Tamandua tetradactyla: one gene and its partners. The protein of the gene in region 1 interacts with the protein of each later gene in a pairwise test. Links are inferred from orthologs where the notes say so. Each region holds a gene or a part of one and is shown on either strand. Other genes may lie near its edges.

What was found.
Region 2: the proteins of KPNA3 (region 1) and MAT2B interact in binary tests that used the Homo sapiens proteins (3 or more experiments, as listed by UniProt). The two-hybrid records come from large-scale screens. The link is inferred for Tamandua tetradactyla from reciprocal best matches to the Homo sapiens genes KPNA3 and MAT2B.
Region 3: the proteins of KPNA3 (region 1) and TSSC4 interact in binary tests that used the Homo sapiens proteins (3 or more experiments, as listed by UniProt). The two-hybrid records come from large-scale screens. The link is inferred for Tamandua tetradactyla from reciprocal best matches to the Homo sapiens genes KPNA3 and TSSC4.

The regions. Positions count from the first base shown.
Region 1 is NC_135330.1:108,182,299-108,190,103, forward strand, and holds the start of KPNA3 (importin subunit alpha-4), read left to right. Parts: upstream 1-4,796; 5' UTR 4,797-4,860; coding exon 4,861-4,929; intron 4,930-7,805. UniProt on the Homo sapiens protein: Functions in nuclear protein import as an adapter protein for nuclear receptor KPNB1. Binds specifically and directly to substrates containing either a simple or bipartite NLS motif.
Region 2 is NC_135346.1:44,625,406-44,632,644, forward strand, and holds the start of MAT2B (methionine adenosyltransferase 2 subunit beta), read left to right. Parts: upstream 1-4,229; 5' UTR 4,230-4,317; coding exon 4,318-4,380; intron 4,381-7,239.
Region 3 is NC_135335.1:2,280,617-2,288,568, reverse strand, and holds the start of TSSC4 (U5 small nuclear ribonucleoprotein TSSC4), read right to left. Parts: upstream 3,011-7,952; 5' UTR 2,803-3,010; intron 2,589-2,802; exon of another isoform or gene 2,484-2,588; intron 2,198-2,483; exon of another isoform or gene 2,101-2,197; intron 1,288-2,100; 5' UTR 1,138-1,287; intron 1,050-1,137; 5' UTR 1,027-1,049; coding exon 52-1,026; 3' UTR 1-51. Other genes in the region: CD81 antigen, read right to left, coding at 5,216-5,278, 5,383-5,469, 6,280-6,381, 6,629-6,733, 7,015-7,089, 7,494-7,591. UniProt on the Homo sapiens protein: Protein associated with the U5 snRNP, during its maturation and its post-splicing recycling and which is required for spliceosomal tri-snRNP complex assembly in the nucleus.

The sequences.
Region 1 (7,805 bases):
AGATTTGAAAGGTCCCTCCACTGTGCCAAGCTGGGAAAGTTTCATGGACTTGGGATGGGTATTTAAAGAAGGGTTGATTTTGACAGGCAAAGATAGGGGCGGGGCTTTCTAAGCAAATCAAAACATCAAGGTTGGTGGGGAGTGGTGCACAGGGGGTTCGGTGGTAGAATGCTCACCTTCCCTGCGGGAGACCTGAGTTCAATTCCCAGTCCATGCATCTTCCTCCCCACCCCCAAAAAACCATCAAAGATGGGAAGTTGGAAAGGCAAAAACATGTTTGGAAAAGGGTGAATCAAACCTGTTGGGTAAAGCATGAGCTTTGTGTAGGAAAACCAGAAATAAGAGAAGTGTTCAATGCTGGGGCCAGGTCACTTATGACCTTAATCACCAGACTGAGTTTAGAAATGATTTAACAGTGGTGGAGGAAGAGGGATGTCTGGGTCAGATCATGGTGAAAAGTCAGGAAAATCAGGAGAAGGGATTTGAGTCATTGTGGAGAGAACAGATGGTTTGGTTTCCTTAGTTGCTCAAGCAAATACCATGCAATGGGTTGGCTTAAAGCATGGGAATTTATTGGCTCACTGTTTTGAGGCTAGGAGAAGTTCAAATCAAGGCATCAGCAAAGTGATCTTTCTTCCCAGAGGCTGGTGTTCTGAGCCTGGCTGCTAGCAATCCTCAGTCCTGGGCTCCTCTGTCATGTCACATGGTAAGGCACATGGTGGCCTCTTCTGGTCTCTCCCATCTCTTCCAGATTCCATTGAATTTCAGCTTTGTGCCTTTTGTGGCTTTCTCTCTCTCTCTGTCTGACTTTCATTCTGCTTATGAAGGACCCCAGTAATAGGATTAAGACCCATCCTGCTTGAGGTGGACCACACCTTAACCAAAGGAACTTCATCAAAAGGTCCTGCTTACAATGGGTTCCTACTCACAGGAGTGGATTAAGTTTAAGAACATGTTTTTCTGGAGCACCTACAGTGCCAAACCACCAGAATGGAGAGGCATAATGGCAGTCTTGTGGGTGGCACTGAAGGATTAAGAAAACACTGAAGGATGAATTAACATGGTAGCAGGGTGAGAGAGCCAAGGGAAGAGCAGGAAGCAAAAACGGCTCTTGGCTTTGAGCAAGGAGGCCTTGGGGGAACGGCTATATCATCATAGAGCCAGAGAATTTACAAAGAGAAGCTGATTTGAGGGGAAAATGATGCGTTCCCTTTTGGATCTGTTGGGTTTGCATTGCCTGCTGTGTATCGCCACCTAGCAAGATTCCCAATGCTTTGGGAATGATGGATGATGAAACAGAGGATGAAGGAGGGTTTGGCTGATCCCCTGGCTTTGGGCCCTTTCTTTCTACCTCTGTTCTGGTACCCCCCGCCCCCAGACCCTGTTTCCCTGATGAAGACAATGCTTGGTGGGTGGTGAGCACTCAACATATATTTGGAAAATAAGTCTATTTAAAAGAAGAGTTACCAGGAGAAATTTCAGGGCAAGGGTCAAGACTACAGTGAAGCCAAAAGTAGCAGGTAGGTGCTAGCCATGAGAAACACCAAATTTGAGTTGCTGGAGGTGGTCATTTCCTGGAGATTAAGAACTCCAAGGCCTGATAGGTTATAAGTGATAGAAACCCAGTGAAGTTAAGATGTGAAGAGAATCTAGGACTGGAATTCCTGAGTTGTGGATGTTGAAATCACCAGGGGATAATGGCAAGAAGTGACTAAGTTAGACCTGGGCAAGAGGGGTCCCAGCTTTGGAAACTAACTTTGAGAGGATCTCAACTCACTTCTGGTGTATCCACCACCCCCCTCCATGAGGAAAGGGGTCCATGGGGCCAAAGGATCTTATTCACTGGAACCTGAACCTTTGGACCAATTTCTGAGTACCAGTGCCCTGGGGTTCCCTGCTCAAATCACTCCAAGCCTGTTCCCAGGGTCTTTCCAAGTGTTTTCTCTGGGTCTGTCTTCCAAGGGAGACATCATGCCACCTCTGCTTGTGCATCTAGGCCTAACCCTCTTGAGGCAGGTAGAAGGATGGAGACAGAGCTTTGGGGATGAGTAGGCAGGACTTGAACATTATGGGTCATTACAGTGTGGCACAGAATCAGGACAGGGAAGAGAAGGGGGACAAACAGCAAGATGTGGGTGGGGCCCCAACCCTCCTTGAGAAGCCACCTTCTGAAGCAGAAGTTGGGGAAATTAAGACATTTAAATTTGAACTCAGACTCTAAGGTTGTTGAAGAGGTGCATTTGTTAATGCAAGAGGCTAGAATATATTTTATTTAAGTTTTTCAGCTTGATTTATAACTTCTAAATATTTATACCTATGAATTGTAGACCTCCACTTACACTTTTGCTCTGAGAGCCTCAAAAGTTTGGAATGGACAGGTTATAAAAGTCTCCCTGTAGAGGGCTTTGAGCTTCCTTACCCTTTCTTAACTTCCACCCCATTTTCTGAGTGATTATTTATTTTGTTGTGATGTCTCCTGGAACCAGGTTGTCCTGTTTACAAGAGGATCTTAATGCTAGTACCAAGGCTGACATACACAGTAAGTGATCACCAAATATGTCTAAAACTCCAAAATGAGTCAAGAAAGGTTTATACATTTGAAGGCAGCAGGTAGGATGAAGGGAGGTGGTAGAAGGGGATAAAAGAATACCTTGCTTAATTATAACAGGGATTCAGCAACAGTATAGAATTTTCTCTCCTTCCCCTCCCAGATAATCTGGGAAAGTGACACATATGCCACCTCTATATCTTTATGAACGAGAGTTGAAGAAATCTGTTCATTTTAAGTCCTAGTTTTTTGTTAGTGATGTTTTTTTCTTTCAAAAGGGTTAGGGACCAGGAGTGGCAGACTGAAAGCCTGGAGTTCCTAAGTGTTACGATTTGCTAAAGCTGCTGGAATACAATATATCATAAATGGACTGGCTTTTGCAAAGGAAATGTATTAAATTACAAATTTACAGTTCTAAGGCTATGAAAATGCCCAAATTAAGGCATCCTGAGAATGATACCTTGACTCTGAAGAAGGCCGATGGTATCCAGGGTTCCTCTTGCACCTGGGAAGTCACATGGTGATGTCTACTGGCCCTTCTCTCTAGAATGTCTCTGAGCTTCTGTGTGTGTTTGCTTGTTCCTCCTGGGGCATTTCTGTTTCTGAGCCCTTTCCAAAATATCTCTGCCTTTTATCTTTTCATAAAGGACTCCAGTAAAGATGATTAAGACCAACCTTTGAATAAGGTGGGTCACATCTCCATGGAAACAACCTAATTGAAAGTTTCCACTCAGGAGAATAGATTAGAAGAACATGGCTTTTCTGGGGAATATAACAGTTTCAAAGCAGAATACTGACTGGATATCCAAGTACATTAAAAAAAAAAAGTGTCATTTAAAAATAAAGGAAAAAAAATCCAGCTTTGTTACTCTTTTGAAAAATTAGACCCTCAGGCAACACTGGGCTACAAGGGTCTGGAGCCTTTAAATAGTCCTGTGTTTACCAACTGGCCACCTGCCACTCAGAAAACAAATGCCCCTGGACATAGCCTGACCAGTTCCATTGGATTTCCTGCCTGGCCATTGAATGCCTCTGAGTTTGTGACCTTGGGACCTCTGGCTCTTTTAGGCCCCTTAAAAGTCTGTTCTTTGAGTAATCTCATCATGGTTATCTTTCTAGCAATCTTTGAAGGACATCAGTTCATTTGAACTACATGTACAATAACATTTTTTTGCCTGTTTATATCCACCAGAGTCTGAAACTGAATTTCACAAATAATTAAACGAAGCCCACCTGCCCCAGAAAACAGTTCTGAGTGTTCTGAGGCAAATCCCCCTGGATTCTTCCTCTGAAGAGCCTAAGAAGAGATGCTAACTGGAGAGCCCGCGGAGTAGGGCCTCTGAGACTGAGATTGTGCGTGGTGGCTGACCAGGAGTCAGGGACACACACGTACAGGGGCTGCCACAGAGGGGATGGAGGTGGCAGCACGGGGATTGGGAGGAGGCTGAAGAAATCCGGAGGTGCTGAAGCGCCATCGTTTGTCCAGTAGCTATGAAATGTCAACCAAAGTGCCTGCTCTCCCCGAGCTTAATTCCGGTGCTGTAAGTCAGGTAACACAGACGTAAACACACATATCACGTTCACACCCACGCACAGGTCAGGTGGAAATAAATGTTCTTTTCCCAGCCCAAAGCAGAGCCCGGGAACAGCGGGTGAGGGTGGTGGTACTCTTGCAGGAGGAGTCCGGAGAAGCGAGGGAGCAAGGCACAAGCGGAGCTCCTTTCTCATTTCCCCAGGAAGCCCCGCCCCCTCCGTCGCAGGAGGGCGCAAGGTGCAGCTCCGGGAAGCACCGCCCCCTTCCCCGCCCACAGGAGGCCCTGGGGCTGGGTCTCGCGCCCAGGCGCGCGCAGGGCTCCCGGCATTCCCCTCGTTCTCCCAAGGGCGCGAGGAATCTCCCCCGGCCGAAGCTTGGCATGCCGGGAACTGTAGTCTCCGGCCGGCTCTCGCGCACGCGGGCGAGTAAAAGCCACCAAACCCGGCTCCATTTCTGGTGTATGACTTGCAGCCCGAGGGGTGCTGGGGAGGCTTTGCTAGGGGGCGGAGGTCACCCCCAGAACCAGGCTGGGCACCGCCCCCGGTCACGTGCCCGCCCCCTCCCCTTCCCGGGCACGCCCCGCCCCTCAGCGCCGTCACCCCCCCCCCGCGCCCCGCCCCGCCTGTCCATCGGTCCGCTCCCCCGGCGCTGCTGCCACCTCGCGCCCAGCGGCGTCGCGGAACGCGCGCCCCCGCCCCGCCCGCGGTCCCCCCCTCCGCGCCGAGACTCGCCGCCGCCGCCGCCGCAGGAGGAGCCGCCGCCGGAGTCGCGCGCAGCCATGGCCGAGAACCCCGGCTTGGAGAACCACCGCATCAAGAGCTTCAAGAACAAGGGCCGCGATGTGGAGGTGAGCGCGCTTTGGCGGCCAGGCAGGCACCGGGCGGGGCGGTCAGCGGGGAGGCCCGGGCTGCAGCCGCCCTCCGCGAGTCGCCGGCGTGGTGGGCCCCGTCACGCGGGCGCGGCCTGGTGTCGGCGAGGGAGGGCCGCGGGGCCGAGGCGGGGGCCGCGCAGGCAGGGGTGCTGCCCCCGGGCAGTGCAGCTTCCAGCTTGCCGGCGCTGGGGACCGAGGCGCGGCCCGTTCCCGCGCCTCCCGCGGGCGAGCCGGGCCCAAGGCTGGTGGTGGCGGTCCGCAGAGGGGGTGGGGACCAGCCGGGGAACTGACGGGTTTGAGGATGGTGGGTGGGGGAGGGTAGGATGCGCCAGGACCATTTTCTTGTATTTCAGGGTTGTCCTTTGGGTCAGGCGTGCTGAGCTCTTCCAGCTCCCGCTCCTGCTTCTGCTGGCATTTGGGGCAAGGTGAAGATGGTCAGTAGTTTACCATCTATTGTGTGGAGGCTTTGGAGGAAAGGTTGTTCCGACCTCCGCTAACAGGACCCGTTTTCTTAGCCTTTCTTGGAGTGGGGTTTGCAAAGGTGGATGCTTTCTTCGAAGGGTTTTACGGAAATAAAATTGGATGCTCGGGTTCGTTCGGCCTTATGTATCTCTTGCTCCAAGCAGGTAGGATTTCCTAAGTGGTTGCAAAACTGTAAACATTCATCGTGGTCACTGAGTTCGTTGCTACTCAGCATGTTGCCATTGTCTCGTTAAGGTGACATTAGCAGGTACTATTTGCAAACTAGGCTTATCCAGGCAGCGCTAGAGGTCTCTCTGCAGCTACCCAAAGCAATGTAGTATAATGTACAAACTTCACTGGGACTCTGACCTCTGGGTTGGTGAGGGGGGAAATGGTTTTAAGGCCACAGCCTCCTTTCCTAATACTAGGTGGCACCATGTCCAGTTTTGTAATTCTTATCAAGAGGCTATTGTGATTAAGAAGGGTGCGTTTTATCCTCTTTTAAAGGTGGTAAAGAAAAAAAAAAGCCGTTCCACATTCTGTTTGTAGAAAACAGATGAAACTCCAGCCATTTTTTCAAAGCTACAAAATTAAACTAACTGGAAAAAATCTAGGGACTTATCTGTGGAATTTCCATTTGAATGAGAAGTAAAGGTCGTCTGTCCCTGTCCTGGTCATGATTAAATTTCCTTTGTGAGAAATATGTCTAAGTAAAAGTGAAATTTGGAAATAGCAACAAGCAGTTGCCTCCTCCTGTTGGTTCACTTGATGACAGGAGTTAATTTTGAACTTTTTCTATCCCTGGTTTTTTTCATGTGCCTTCCCCCTATTATAAAGCAAAACTTAGATTGTTTGAAAAATACCTATACTGTTTGTACAGAAAAACTAACAGCATCCTTTTTTTCTCTTGACTATTGGTACAGGTTTTGTCTTATTGTTTCTTTTGTTGGGTTCTAGGGGCTCAGTGATACCCAGCTAGGACTCCTGCCCATAACAGGTCCACAACAAATATTTGCTCATGATCAGAAGGTAGCCAGTGATTTTTAGATGTGTGATTGCCTGGTCTTTCAAACTGAAAATACTGCTCACAACAACACGACATTTTCCAGGATACATAGGATAACTAAGGATGTAATGTTAGTCATTCAAATGTGATGGTTCTCTGTGGCAAGCACTGTACTAAGAGCTTCATGATGCCTCATTTAATTCTATAGCAACTTTAAGAGCCAGGGGTTGCATTGTCCCCGCTTTATGCAAGGAAGATACAGTAGGTGAGGAACCCAGGTGCACATGGAGCCTACCCAGGGTTCACTAGTAGGTCTCAGCAGTCAGGCACTGATTGTCTGTTGGGGATCTAACTGTGTGCCCAGCCAGCATGGTTCCAGGTCTTGGGGAGACAAATGGGGAGGAATTCAGCCTGAACCTTCCAGGAGTTTACAGTACAGTGGGGCTGATTGAATAGTAAAGTGGTGATTATAATGCAGTATGTCAGTAAGTATGCTGATATAGGTACAATGAGAATGCGCGAGAAGGACCTGACTAGGAGCTGGGGGTCAGAGGAGCTGTTCCAGTTGATTCCTAATGCATGAATGGGATTGAGCCAATAATGAAGGCTCAAAGAAAGTTGGCCAGGCAGAGGGCAGGATGAGGGGGAGGGGAAAGAAGGGGTACTCCACACTTAGTGTTTGAGGAGTCCTGAGAAAAATGTAGCCTGCTGAGGCTTGGAGAAAGAAGAGAGTGCTAGAGATGTGGTTAAAAGGCAGATTGGGCTCAAGTCTGACTAAGTACCTTTGTGGATTTAGGCATAAATAAAACCAGACACACCATATCTAATTTAGTTGTATCCATTAGAAACTGTATTACATTAGAAATGTATTCTACCACTTAGCTCTGTGACTAACTAGTTGTGGTTATCAGGCTTTTCCAAAACTGTGAGGTGCACTTTAATGAGATATCATTCCTCCTTTTTCACATACAGGATGGACAACGATCCAACATGTTATAAGCAGCTGTTACACAAATAAGATGCTAGGTGCAAGAATTAAATGAATATTTCTAAAGAAGATGGAAGTGTAGAATTGTGCTGGGGGTTGTAAGTGGGGAGAGAGTGGAGGAGTAAAATTATTTCATATTCATTCAAGAATGACTTTATAGAAGAAAGATTTTAAGAGATCCTTGGAGAGAGAACGCAGTTTGTGAATCACTAGGAAGTATATACCAAACTTGAAAGAGGCCTATGAGAAGTTTGTTAATAAATATCCAGGTGAAAAAGGAGAGACCAGGTAGTGAACAGTTAAGAGACTTGCAGTTGGTCTGTGGTGGGCTGAGAATATGCCTTCCAGAAAAGAGTTGCTTGGAAGCTTTTTCTTGAAAGAGAGATCTGAATGAAT
Region 2 (7,239 bases), on another chromosome or scaffold:
CTGAAACTGTTTAATACTATTTAAACATTGTATGGTATTTGTTTTAGCAGCTGGGAAATTAAAATAGTTGTTTGTACTGGACAGTGGACTGCTGCTATTGCAAATACCTAAAAAATGTGGAAACAGCTTTGCAATTTGGTAATGGGTGGTGGAAGCTGGAAGTATTTTGAGGCGCTTGATAGAAAAAGCCTAGATTGCTTAGAAGAGACTGTTCTTGCCCAGACCGAGCTCATACCAAGCATGGGAGGCTGTGGCTGGGAGACTGAAAAACACACCAGGCACAGAAGCGGACATGGGTTTACTGGGATGCATGAACAGAAGTTCTTCAGTGGCAGCTGCCTGACTTAAACACTCCACAAAGGGAACAGGAATGCAAGAGGGTATATATGATTACAGAACAAAGACATTCCACATAGTATGAGGGCATCAGGTCTCTAGTATAATCCTTAAAGGGGCCTAAAACCTAATATTTACTAAGATTAGTGTTCAAGACTAAGATAAAATCAATGCGGTTTTCACCTCTGTAGTTACATTCTTCCCCCTCTGGGGAGATCGTTTACTTTCTTGACCTTTGTCCTTGGCTAAAGCAGGTCTGTTATCGGCTTTTTAGGAGGAGGTCCCCTGGCATCCGGTAGCCATAGACTGTTATTAGAAACATCAGCACTTAATATTATCAGTATTTTAGATCTTAACCATTGTGATTTTAACAGATTTTAATCTGTTGTGATGTCTTAATGTGGTTTTAATTTGCATCTACCTGATGATAAACATCTTTTATGTACTGGTTGACTACCTTCATAACTTCATTTGTGAAGTGTCTGTTCAAAGCTTTTGTCCATTGAATGTTTTCTTATTATTGAGTTATAGTAATTGGCATATATTCTGAATATAAATCCATTTCAGATGTATGTATGGATAATTTTTCCTCGTCTGCGATTTGAGTGCGTTTTTAATTTTGATGAAGTCTAATTTATCAATTTTTAAAAAGTTTATGGTTTTGACTTTCCCTGTCATATTTAAGAAATAATTTGTTTATTCTTAGATTTTGACCATATTCCCTTTCATTTTCCTCTAAAGTGTTACGTTTTAGCTTTTAATCTGGACAATACAAATTTCTAAGATACTTATTGAAATACACAAACATGCACAAAAGTTTTCCTGTAAACTTATGGACTCCTCTGAGTGTTTCATGGAATTTACTATAACTGTGTCCTCTAAATGTTTCAGAGTTGTCATTTTTTTTAGCTCTATCTGACTGGTATTTTAAATGGTTAAATTGGCACAAAGTCATAATCTAGAACAGTAGTTCAAAATTTAACAGAACATACTTATCACTCTTAATATTATTTGAAACTGAGATCAATGTGCCATACTCTAGGAAATAATTTAGTTCCACTGACGTACAGAGAGCCTTGGGAATCACTGATCTGGAAATCCTTAACATTTGTCCAAACTTAAGGTCACTTCATCTACCATTTTCTTAAATACTTAAAAGGGCAGCAAAATGTTAATAGAAATGACTTGTTGCATTTTAACTTTTTGTGTTGTTACCAGCGGTGCCTTTTACAGATTTTTGAATTAGTCATTTAAAAAGCACTGGGGAGAAAGCACTGGAGAAATATACTACATATTTTCTGTTGTAAAAAGGAATAACTGAATTAAATATTTCAGAACAGGAATCAGTCGCGAGGCTGGCATACTTCCCAACGGCTGGCCCTCGCTTTTCTACTGCAAGAGAGATTGCAAGGAGGCTCCACAGAACATAGGAGTGCGCTCCTGTTTTTAGTAAGTTTGTTCTACCTAACATATTGTTCTGCAAATAGACCCTCGCTTGGCTGGCAATTAAACATGAAACTTCTCATTGGGTATTTTCAAGCCAGTCACAGGGAATCAGCTGCCAGTTTACTGCAACGTGGAAAAACTGCACGAGTTTCTGGGATTGGAATCAAACTGCTAATTCAAAAGGTCAAGTGAAGCGGCGGCTCAAGTTTTCGTGCCTGCGCTCTCTGCAGGCAGAAGCAGACAAAGACCCAGCGAGAGGAGGCAGAAGCTAAGGTCCATTCTGTTTTCCTGAAAATAATTTTGGAATCATGCCTGAAATGCCGGAAGACCTAGAACAGGTAAGAGCTAGCTGTTCACGAAACAAAGCACCCCAGAGTTAGAATTGCGTTAAAAACATCCCAGTAATGAAAATAAAAACGGGTGTCGTTCGTTTCTTTAAAACATATAACCCTCTGACTCGGAAGACTAAACCAACTTTAGTTGTTGACCCAGGAAACGAAGCTATGGAAATCTCATCTAAGTTTCATTAATTGACAAAAATAAAACACACAACAGAATAGCACTTTCACTTACCAGATTAAACGCAATGATATATGCATTTGTATACATACGTTTGTATATAAGTAAGGATTTTATTTATAGTTGTGTGTTCCAGCCTTTGTCTTTGCATGAATTGAATCTGCCAACCTAATTTCTAGTCTTTGCATTTATACACTTAGCCACGTCAGGAACTTGGATATTTTTTGAATAACGATTTATTCTTATAGCACCTTTCATCATAAATAGTATGACTGAAAGCCATAGACGAACATATGCAACTAGAATATACCCAACTTTTTATCTGGCCAGTATCCTAAACCCAGGGCTTCAAATATAGGCAAGTAAACTCTTTTTATTCCTGACTCGAGATAAGGCTGTTATGGGAATCAAAATGCTTATTGCGTATATATGTCCAAATGTTCATTCATATCGAATACTTAATTTTTTGTTTTCCTAGAAAGATTAGACTGAATTTGCAACTGGAAACTTTAAACAAAATCCCAGATTTTCTTGAGGAGCAAACCCTCACACCTTCTTTTCATTGTTTGCCGATTATGCATATTTAGTGACCGAGTGGTCCTGTCTGGGATTCCCTAATGATGCTAAACTAATGAACAGCGTCTATTACCACCAAAATAGAAACGTGAGGAGCCCCAGGGTCTTTTCGGTTACGGTTCTGAAAAGGACTTTAGATTTACGCCAAATAAAGGAAATGGGTACTTGTTGGGGGATGGGTAAAAATTAAAGTCACGGGGTTCAGACCTCGAAGAACTACTTTTAAAGACTGCTTATAGCCGAATAATTTTCGGTTTTATTTAGCTTATAAGCTAAAACCGAAAGTATTATTAAAACAAGTCTTTCTTGGAAAAATTGTGGGCACATTGTGGGCGATCTTCAGACCACGGTTTGCTCTGAGTCTGAACAAAAACGTTCAGAGTATTCGTGAACAGTGGGAGAACCCTACAAGGTCTGAGCTTGGTTTTTTATTTTGTTTTATTTTTGTTGTTTCTGCTTAAAATTCCTTAGACATCCTGGCTGGAAGGGGCCTCCTGCGGTTTTGAACTGAAAGGGAAATCAGTTAGTTGCGTGCTAGGGCGGTCTCAACAGGACTGTTGTAACCGAATCATTTTTAAACAGCGATACAGGTGGCAGAATGTTCAGCATTGCACTCGCCCCTCGAGTCCTTCCTTAAATTTCCAAAGGCTTTCTTTAGTTAAGCTGGCGTTGCTCAGCACTGCGGCCCCTAAGATGGTGCTTCTTAAAGTGCGGTGTTCAGACCCCTTGCAACCACTAAAATGTAGATTCCTCCGGCTTTGACCCCAGATTCTTATTTTGTAGATATGGGTTAAGCCCAAGAAGCTGCTTTTTGAGCAGATTCTTAAAGAATTCACGCCCCGCCCCCTCCCCCCCAAATGCCTTATTATTTTTATTTTATTTACTTAAAAGTAGCCGAGAAAGACAAACAGGGCCCTGAAGTGTTACTGATTCAGATGCAAATTTCTTATTTTTATTCCCTGTCTGTTTCCACATCTATAAAACCCCACACTCCTCAAGACTTTTAAATGTTTTTCAGTACACTGTCTCTCTTATACCCAGTTGAGTCTTTTGCATTGAGCAGTCTGTAAACTTCCATTCACGCCAAAATTCAACCCTTCCGCGACCACAAGAAAAAGAAGAAAGGAAACAAGCACACACATAATCAAAACCCCTTAAAACAAAACGTGTAGTTATTGTTAAGTCTGGGGCCACCGCTGTGTGTATGACTTTAAGAACTGGCGCGTGGGCTGAGAGCGTCCCGCGTGCGCCCGCCCCTTTCTGGCGTGTAGACGGGGCTTGTCCAATCAACAGGCGTGGCCCTGGCGGCGGAAGCCGGAAGCGGAGAGCAGAGGCTGGCCTGGTAGGGAGGCGGGCCCAGGCGGAGGGAGCGAAGGCTCGCGGCGGTCCTGGGCTGGCGGAGGTGGCGGCCGCGACGGCCGCGGCGCAAAGACGGCGGGGATGGTGGGGCGGGAGAACGAGCTCTCCATCCACTTTGTTCCCGGGAATTGCCGGCTGGTGGAGGTGAGGGGTCGGCCCGGTGGTCTTCAGTGGGGTCCGGGCGCACAGACTGGGACGACTCAGGTCGGTCGGGCCTCGGGTGGTCTGCTCGCGCTCTGCAAGCCAGCGGGGGTCCCCGGCTCGGAGTTGCCTCTGCGCCATCCTCCCCACACAGGGAGCTTTGGGCGGTGTCACTGAGTTTGTTTACCTTAGCGCACATTCGTCAGTGTTTTCTCTTCCAGCCGCTGCGGCAGGAAGCGAGTAAGTCGGGGTTTCACTTTCGGGTCCCCAGTCTTCGCTCCCGGGAATGAAGAGGGAATTTTCAGAGTTGTTTGCGTCTTGGTTTTACTTTTCTTCATTTCTTTCTCATCCTTGGTTTGTATACCTCGATCTTACCAGTTTGTAGCTCTGAGAAAGAAGGGGAAGGGTGGCTTTTCAGGAATAACAACACTATTGTGTTAACGCATTTTACTTGCATTATTTAATTTGTTATTCATAACTATGAGATACTGTTATTTTCCCATTTTACAGGTGAGAGAACTGAGGCTTAGATTTGCCCAACTTATTTCAGTAAGGTTGAAATTAAGATTCATATGCCCGTTTGTCCGTTTCAGGCTTTGAATCACTACGGAGTTTGCATATAGGAAGTCTGTTAAGGTGCTTAAGAGCTGGTATTCCATCAGTCTCTCCTCTGTCACTCAGTTCACAGAATATATCAGCACTGGAGATAAAAAGACTATTAAAGCCCAGACCAGTATATTTTATGGATATGAGAAAGCGCATAGGAGATGGCTGTTAATGATAATGCAAAATTTCTACTCTTCCGAATTGTAGCATATTTACTTTAGCATATTTATTCTTGGAGACTGAGGATAAAGTTAGGAGAAATGGGCTACTTGAACTTACATTGTTCTTGTGTGCCCCCAAAAGTGCTGAGGTCAAAATGTTACATACTGTTTATATTTATGTATTTGTACATAAATACATAATATGTGTGTAAATAAAGCTTAATCTGTTTTCACAGAAGTTCAATAAACTAATGAAAATGATTTTTCATGTTTTCCTTTATTAAAAATGGTACAACTAAGAGCTTGGCACATATTGATTGCTCTCAAACTTGCAGAATTAAAACCCACTTGTCAGAGTGATAACTGTTTTAGAGTTAATGTTAGGGAAACAGGCTTTAGTGATTTCCTGTTAATACTGTCTGCAAGGTACAGTAGGGTCACAGAGGGACAGAGGGAGTTAGACCAATCCTATTTAGGTGATCATGGGATTTTAAAAGTTTCCCAAGAGTTTCCATTCAGAGGCCTACCTGGAGGGGAATGTTTTGAGGATGTATTCAAGAAATGAATGTGAAACTTTCCCAGATTTATGAGGTTTAAAATATAGCAAGGTCTTGTTATGCTTACCACTAAAATTTGAGTTTACCTTGCAGGTTTCAGCCATAGTTTGCACTATTTTTCTACAACATTTTGAGTAGAAGCTAAAGTGAGCTTAAGTAGAGATCACTGTGTCATGGTACTGTGTTGGACCATTTTGAAAAAGCTATGTATCCCCATTACTGATACAATTTGATGCCATTTAATGAGATAACATAGAAAGAGCAGAGGTTCCTCACTTATTTGTATGTATTTAATTTTTCAAGAATTCTTCTAGTATCTGTAATGTGGCCACTTGGACTTGTTGAAATCCTTACATTTTAAAGTTTACACAATAAGAGGCAAATGCATTAAGAATGACTTAAACTAATATATAGTTTTCTTTATATAATAAAAATTAAGAAGCCAGGTTTTGCCGACAAAATGTTTTCAATTCTTTACTGTGGTAAGGGTAACTAGATAACTTTTTATTTTTCCATTCTGAGTTCTAATGGTTTTTTGAAGTGTTTAAACATTCCTGTCTTTTGCAGGACTAAATTTATGGAGTGATGATCCCAGGTGATTTTTGTTTTTTTTCCCTAACAAAATCAAAACAAGTATACTTAACTTCAAAAAGCTTCAGACAGAGTTTTGTTTATATAGAAACTCTAAAATGGAAGAGATATTTATGATCAGAACCTTTTAATTTTAGGGCGATGGATATTTTTTTTTGCCAACCCCCAATAAATCTGCAATCCAAATGATAAAATCCTGTACTGGTGACAGAGAGAACTCTTATAGTCCCTAGTGACAATTAAGAGAAAAGAAGAAAAGTTACCTTTCTTAAGTAAATGATGTTCTTTACATTCTATTCAGGCCCTTTGACATAAGGATAATAAGGGAAAAGAATTGTGGAGCTTTAAAGCTGGAAGAACCTTAGTCATTTTGTCCAGACCACTCATTTTACTGATGAAGAATTAGATCAATAGAACTTAAGTAACTTCTCAAAACTAGTTTGTGGCACAGCTAGGACAAAACCTTGATACATAGAATCAAATATAAGTTCAAAGGATGGACACAAAACTCTTTAGGAATTTTGTAGGCTTGGACCACAGAAGCAAGAAGAACCAAGTTTCCCAGACATTTACGTACTTTACCCTAGGCAGAGGGTCTTCGTTTTGGAAATGATTACTTATGTAACACTTGCTAATTTTCACATATAAAATTGTGCAGCATCATTTCCACCTCATAAATGTTTGCACTTAAGATCCTTGCTCTTTTAATAAAAAAAAAAAGTCTTGCGCATTAACATCTGACCACAGATAACCAAGGGCTTTTTTCCTCTGGGGACTTTACAAATTACTCAGGTATAAAATTGTATCTTCTCTGTGCAACCCTAGACATTTTATATCTCCTATATTTAAATGAACTCTTTTATATTCCCAAAAGAAACTTGCTCTTGTAACCTTTGCTGTATTTAATCAAATCTAAGATGCTCTTACTTAAAGATGCACTAAGAAAC
Region 3 (7,952 bases), on another chromosome or scaffold:
AAGGCAGGGCCTCGGCAGCGGCCAGAGTGACCTAGCTGGGCAGTCGTTCTGTCAGGCCTCAGTTTCTGGGCCCTCGGGGCTGCTGCCTTTATTCCGGAAGTGCTCTCTACTCCGCTTTTTGCTACCATGGAAGCCAACAGCCTCCACCACTGGGGGCCCCCCAGGGTCAAGCACTGACTCACTGCGGGCAACCTCCTCGGGCAGCCCCCCCTCAGTCTCAGGACTTGCCACTAGATGGGCCAACTCCACGGAGTCCTCGGCCTCTGCCAGCCCCAGGTCCCCAGGGACACTCCTGCCTGGCCCTCCTGCCTTGCCCAGGACCCTCTTCCTCTCAGGTCTGGCCTCACCAGCCCGGGCCGGTTTGGAAAAGATGATTCTTCCTTCCCCGCGGCTGGAGGGGTCCTGGTTGAAGGAGGGCGCATAGTGAGTGGGGGCAGCCGGGCCCCGGGAGCCCAAGAATGCCAGGGCTGCAGCCTTGTTGCTCTGCTCGCTGGCTTCGGCCACGTCCTCCAGGCTGTACCTGGTCCAGCGCTCGGGGTGGGTCACGTAGTCAGGGACAGATGGTGCCCTCAGGGGAGCAGGGTTTCGACCAGACCTACCCAGGGCCTCTCTGAGAGGCTGGCTGGGGGGCACAGGGGGCAACTTGAAGTCCCCATCGTCACCCACGCTGGTGACATGGGCCAGAGAGGGCAGGGCCTGCTTGGCCGCCCCCTCCAGGCAGTCAAAGATGTCCCGGCTGCGCTGCGAGAAGGTGGAGCTCATGCCTCTCAGGTGGAACAGCTGGACGGGGGCTCCTGGGAGGTCCAAGGGGAGACTGGGGGGCTCATCAGGCTCAGAATCCCCACCAGCTTTACCAGGCAGCCCCTCAGGGGACAGAGCTTCCACCTCAGCACCGACCGGCAGGCTGAGGTCCGAGTCCGACTCCGAGTCGCTGAGGGAGACTGTGTCAGAAGGCAGGGCATCATACTCTGCCCCACGCTCGGCATCCAAGCTGGGGGACGGCTCGCCTGCCCCTGCCTCCGCCATGTGTGCCGAGGGCTGCACCACACCTAGACGCAAACAGCCCAGGGACTTAGAGCTGCCTCTACAGAGAAAGGGCCTGGGTCCCACCCTTACCCATGGATAGCCCTCTCTCACCTCCCTCGTTTCCTGGACGCTTGAAGCTGGTGCCTAAGTGCTGGCTGGCGAGGCAAAGGCGCCCTGACCCAGTTCCGCGGCTGCAGAGGCGAGGTCTTCCCAGTCCCAGGAGACTCCCCAGCACGGCTCTGCTTGGCTGCTCAGCTACAGCTGGATGAGGGTTGGGGAAGAGACTCAACCATCAGGCCAGAGAGTGAGCGTGCAAAGTGGCACTCACGAGGGAGCCTGTGTTCACCATGCCCCCAGTGCATGCTAGGCACTGCAGGAGGCACTACCAACACATTACTTCACTTAATTCCAATAACCCTCTTAAGACAACATCGTCTTAAGTGCAGGCTGCAGAGATGGAGGCTCAGCAGACTCACTGGCCTACTTGGGGGTGGGGGGGATTTCACTGGTCCACAACTCAGCTAGGGTCTGAGCCTAGGATGAGGACAGCCTCTGCTCACGTACTGCAGGGCCCTTGACGAACTGCTTAACAGAGTACCCAGCACAGACTCAGTATCCCACAGAGGTCGGGGCACCTTCCTGGTCCATGGGCAGGAAGTTGGCATGTACTTGCAGGGAACTGCCCTGGGAGCTCTGAAGAGATCAAGACCTTCGCATCCAAGTCTTGGAAAACTGGGGAGTCAGTGACCACCTGGAGCAGCTTTTCTGACAAACAGGCCCTAGGCAGCTTCTGGAACAACCTCCATTCCGCATCTCCCCTGCGGCATCCAGGCAGTCAGAGAAGTGCTGGAGACACAGGCAGGGTCTGGCGTCTCTGGGAGGCTTGGAGCTTGGCTGACCGCAGGCTGAGGACAGCGCGGCCTCGCCCCCAGCCAATCGCCACCACCACCTCCTCCTGCCCAGCTTCGCTGGCTGCTGCACCCTGAGGATGCAGACAGGCCAGGAGGGGCTGAGAGCTCCCTGCCGGGCCAGACACGGGGAGATCTCAGGGTAGGAATAATCGGCCTAAGTTACCCAGTTCCAGCCGGACTCTGCTTCCCCAATTCGCACTGTCCTCTGCACCCCGGGGACGCTGCCGCGACTAATCAAAGTAGCCTGGTGGGCGGGACTCCTGGAATAAAGGAAATTCAGCTAGCGGAGCGCAGAGTTGAGCGGAGGCTGAGGGTCTAGGCAGCCGGGGACAGGGGGCAGCTTCCTACGGTTGTCTCTCCCCTCGGGACCCAGCGAGCTAGCACGCGCAGGCTCCCCACGTCGGGGAACCACGGGACGGCTCTCGGGAGCCGGTAGATTCTGGCCGGATAGGTCCCGAAGGCCAGGCCGCGAAGGGAGGGGGTCCTGTGTGCCGCGGGACCTCTGGGCTCGGGGATGCGGACAGCCGCCTCCCAGCCACAACCTACCAGCTCTCGGCGGCCTTCGCCTCCATCTTGATGGGCGCGCCCGCCGGGTCGCCGCGCTCGGCCTTCTGGGAAACCGAGTCCTCTGAGGCCGAACGCGGCGGCTCCCGCGGCCAGAGAACTACAACTCCCACAAGGCACTGGGGGCGCGGCGCCCGAGGCATGCCGGGACTGCTAGGCCAGGGGGCGTCGGCGTGCGCGCTCCCTATAATCTCCGCGCGCTGGGGGCTAACAGCCCAGGCAGCGGCGGCGCTTCTTCTAGAACGAAGCCCGAACTGACTCAGACGCGGAGGGGTGCGGGGGCCCGGGCTGCGACACTCACAATCCTGAGGGCTAACGGCCAGCGTGAAGCTCCAGGCGTCCCAACACCACCAGGGGAGGGGGGCCGCAGGGAGAGCGCGACGGCCCACGCCGGAAGCGCGGCCTCGAGCGCCGCTAAGCGGGGTGGGTCCTTCGGACCTCAACCGGAAGAGGCGGTGCCTCGCGCCTCAGCCGGAAGGGGCGGTGCCTCGCGGGTGCTGTAGTCCGAGTTTCAGCTCCGGGGCCGTCTGCCGGCGCTCGTGCGCTTTCCGCCGCGTTCCCGTCCCCGCCTCGGCCAGCTGCCGTGCCAGCTCCGCTCCGGGCCTGGCTGCAGCCGACACGTAATGCGGGCGCAGTCTGGGCACCCCGCTGGCCTGGGTGCCTCCCACCCGCATCCCAGGCGCTCCCCGACCCCGGCCCCGCGGACCTCCTGGTTCCCTCAGGGACGCGGCCGCGGCCAGCCATCCCCGCCACGTGGGCTCTGACGACAGCGGGCCCCATCTGGGCTTTCTACCCGGGGCACTGACGGCGCGCCTGCCTCCTTCGGTCACCGGGGAGACGCGCCTCAGGGGAAGTGAAAGGGAGACCTGCAGGTGGGGAAGCCAGGGCCCAGCGTTCGCCTGGCTGCGTCCTCCCAGGGCCCCCGGGGAGAGCCCGAGTAGGCCTGGGGGCCGTGGCCCGGACGGCCCCGCCTCGGGAGGCTGGCAGCCTGTTGGAGGGGCCCGCTGCTGTGAGGCAGGTCACGTCCGCACAGCAGAGAAGGAGGTCCTGGTCTCCCTTCCCCCGGGACGGCTGATGAGCCCATCCGTGAGGCCCCTCAGCTGCCCAGCTCCACTTTTAGGGGGACGGGGTGGTGGTCGAGAGAACCTGCCCTTTTCCCCGGCCTGGCCTCTCCTGGGAACCCAAGGACTCAAGGTCCTGTGTGGTCCAGCCCAAAAAAGACCCAGAGGGGTTTGAGACGTGCCCCCTCTCAGTCCCTGATGTGCTGGGCAACCCTGAAATACCCCATTTGTGAGGCTCAGTCCCCACCTGCCTCATCAGGATCCCACTGTCGAGTGAACCATAAACTTACTTTTGGACCCCACGTCTCATCCTGCAGCATGCCATACGCGAGGCTATACCCAGACCACCAGGCCACAGTCTTGGGCAGGGATCCAGGGGCAGCAGAAGGGGCTCCTTGGACCATCCTGTGCTGTCCCAACCTGCCCGAGCGTCAGTAGTAGGGAATGGGGGAGGCCTGCTGAGACCCCGGGGCAGGACTGGAAGTCCCTGACATAGTCAGATAGGCACTTGTCAGGACTATCCCTGACATAGTCAGATGGGCACTTGTCTCTGGGGGCCCAGCTGAGCTCATGACACCTTCACTCAGCATCCTTGGGCTCCCAGGGAGCGGGGGACCAGGCAGCAGGGTCTGGGCTGCACTCACTGAAACCTCTAGAACAGAAAGACCTCCGTGGGCCCAGGGAGCAGGCCAGGTGGTCTTCCCCACCAACCCTACTCCAGCCTCCCAGCTTCTCCTGATGGGCAGTGAAGAGTCCCTCACCCCTTCAGGAGGGGAACATGTCAGAAGGAAGGGGAAGGAGTGCTAGCACCAGGCATCCATGCCAAATCCTTGCAGTCCCAGGCAGACAGCAGCCCCAGAGCAGCCCTGGTGCTCTCAGATGGGGTGTGGGGCTCTGACGAGCATGAGGAAAACCCAAGGCTGGAACAGCCCTCAGAAGCAGGGAGGAGTGGGGGGTGGGATCTTGTAGCCACATGGACCGTTGTCCAAGGACCATGGGTCCACCATTGCCAGGTCGGGTCCAGAGCCAGCTGGGGCCCCCCAGGCCTCTAGCCATCCCCGGGGTGTGGCATTGCCTGGCACAGGAAGGGGCTCGGGCAGCCACGTTAGCATGCCTGGTTTTCCTTTTTTATTGAATGACTGTTCCAAGATGTTACAGTTACAGTTGAAGATGACATGTTAGAAAGGATAGCTGCAAGAAGGCATACGGGTGCTCTAGAAAAGGGGTGGGAGGAGGAACGCGGATTAAAAAAGGCGGGAGACGCCCAGCCCCCAGGTCAGGCTGGGGTGGGAGGACACAGCCCATCAGCCGGGACAGGTGCCCCCCTGGACAGCTGTGCTGGACAGACAGAGCCCCCAAGGCAGGGACTCCTCGTGGACCCCTCCCCTGCTTCCCCAGGCTGGGCCCAGGCCCTTCTCCTGCCACCTACGCCTGGCGCAGGCCCCAAAAGGGTAACAGGAAACCAGAACAAAACAAAACCTCAAAAGTAAAAATGCTAAGTATAGCAGGGTAATACCGGAAACGTTATATACACAGGTGGTGCCAGGGGCCGCCTAAGAGATGGCCGGGTCATGAGGGGAGGGCCGTGGGGGTCCCACTGGCTGGCTGCTACCCTCTGCCCTCCCCCACCCCACAGCCAGGGCTGCCGGGGCCTCAGTACACGGAGCTGTTCCGGATGCCGCAGCACAACACCATACTCAAGATCATCTCGAAGATCTGCGGGGACAGGGGTGGGCACGTGAGGTACAGGGAGATAGTGACTGGCCCCCCAGACCCCCGCGGCCCAGAGTCCCAGCCCCCACCCGCCCGAGCCGGCTCACCATGATCACAGCAACCACAATGGCGGCGATGCCGATAAGGTACAGCTTTCCCGAGAAGAGGTCGTCGATCTTCTGGTGACAGTCCTCCTGTGGGGAACACAGGAGTCATTAGGGCTGCAGGGCACCAGCCCTTGGCTCACTGTCCCACCCCCCTGCCCACACCCTCCCTCCTGGTGCTACAAAGCTTCACAGAAAAAGTATGGGAAATACAGGAAAAGCACCAAAGGAGCTTGCCCCTGCCTCCTCCTAGCCATGTTGGGCCAGTGCGCACCACCCCCCTGCCCCCAGCTCAGAGCCCCTTGCACCCATCTGGGGGCCTGCACGGTCACAGTGGCCTCCCAGGGGCACCAGGAGTGCCGGCCTCTCACATGGGGCCGTAGATGGCTGCCTGGGGGAGCCTGCAAGCTGCCCAACTCCTCATCCCCAGATCCCCAGACAGGTCCCCCCAGAAAGATGTGTTCAACTTGTCGCCCCACCCAGCGGGCGCATGCCCACGGGAAATGGGACCTCTGCAGAGAGGCCCAAAGGGACTGGGGTGGGCCCTACACCAATGGGACTGAAGGCCTCACACGCTGGGGACATTGAAACTCGGCCAGGGAAGGCGAAGGGGCCGCCGGGGAAGCAGCAGGCTAGTGCCGGCACAGCACACAGCCTGGGAGAAAGACCCTGGCGCTTTAGACGCTGTGAGACAAGCCCCCAGCAGGCAGCTTTGTCCTGGGAGCCCCAGCAGACGGAGATAGCAGATGCCATGGCCTTCCTCGGCCACACCTTGACCCCCCAGCCACAGTGTCCCAGCAAGGGGCAGCCTGCCCACGCTGGCCAGGGACCCGCCACCCAGAAACAGTCAGGCCCAGCCCCACTCCTGCCTCAGGGGTCGCCCCGAGGGGCGTGACGTACCTTGAGGAAGTTGCTGATGATGTTGCTGCCCGATGGACAGAGGTTATTCTTGGTCAGTGTGCTGGCCAGCATGGTCAGGGTGCTGGAGCCACAGCAGTTGAGCTGCAGGGAACGAGGGCAGTGGTTGGGCCAGGGCGTCACGCCTTCCCACCAGCCCTCGGCCGGGACAGAGTGATGGGGTGCGGTGAGGTCTGGGGGATGCTGAGGACCCCAGGATCAAGCAAAGGGCGGAAAACTGGGCCCCAGCAGCACCCCGTCTGGGTTCCCAGGGGTGCAGAGCTCAGGGGACCAGGCTCCTGCCTCCCGCAGCTCCAGGCTGAGGCCAGGACCTGACCCCCGGCCCCCGCACCGTCTCATGGAAGGTCTTCACGACGGTCTTAGCCTTGTTGTCGTCGTCGTCCACCACAGCCTGCTGCAGCGCCTGGTCGTAGAACTGCTTCACGTCCTTGGCGATCTGGGGGGCGGGCGGGCACCCCTCAGTGGAAGCGGTGCACCCACACTCCCAGGAGGCAGGGACACGGCCCCGCTCTGCCCGCGGCTCAGCCCCGAGGCCGCCTCCCCCAGAAAGCCCTCCGTGACTTTGCTCTCAGCCCCGAGGCTGCCTCCCCCAGGAAGCCCTCCGTGACTTTGCTCTCAGGTGGGCCCCAGGGGAGCCCATCCCCGGCTAAGGGCCAACCCGCCCGCCCACACCTGAGCACAGGGCCCTCTCCGCTGCCCCCCCAGGCTCTGGCTCACCTGGTCTTTGTTGACGAAGCCCCAGATGCCAGCGGCCACTTCACAGGCAAAGAGGATCACCAGGCAGGTGAAGAACTGGGTGGGGTGGGGGAGGGTGCAACATCAGAACAGGACAGGACACCCAAACAGCCCACGTTCCGGACCAGACCCCAGGGTCTGCCCGCTGACCCTTCCCCAGGCCCGCGAGAAGCACTGCCTACTCCATCTCCCAGGCTTGTCCATGAGAACTGCAGCTGCTCCTGGGCCTGCCCCATGACCCCCAATCTCCTGAGGATCCCAGGCCCGCCCTCACCCTGTCCCTCAGTCCCTGCCCCCCCACACCTCCCCTGTAGTCCCCAGGTCCACCCCACAGTCTCCCCACTAGCCCCAGCCCGGCCATGGCCCCCCTGCCAGTCCCTGCCTGACCCCACCCTCCCACGGTCCCCAGCCCACCCCAAGCCCCCTGTGGCCCCCGACCCAGTGCCCCGCCAAGCTCTCACAGTCCCCAGCAGACACTGTGACTCCTGGATAGCTCCGTAGCAGCCCAGGAAGCCAACGAACATCATCACGGCGCCCACAGCGATGAGAATGTAGATACCTGGGGGAGGGGGCGTGGTCGGCTGTGTAGACGCAGTGGCTGGCGCCCCAACAGCCTGAGAGCAGGTGCAGTGAGGCGGAGCCCCTGTCCCCCGCAAGCTGGCAGGGCAGCACCCTTTCTGCCGCTGTCAGCATCAGCACTTGGCCGCCTGTCCCCAGGGGCTGCACTGTGACAACTGCCCCAGGATGCCCTTATCAGACAAGGTGGCCGCGCTGGTGGGGGGCAGGGGTCCCTGGTCCCAGGACAGCACAGTGACAGAGTGGCAGGGAGCACTCAAGAAGGGCCAGGGGTCCGTGTCTCCTCCTCCCTCCCTCCCACCTCCTGCAGCCCTAGGTGGGCTCTCCATGGTGGGGGCGGTGCT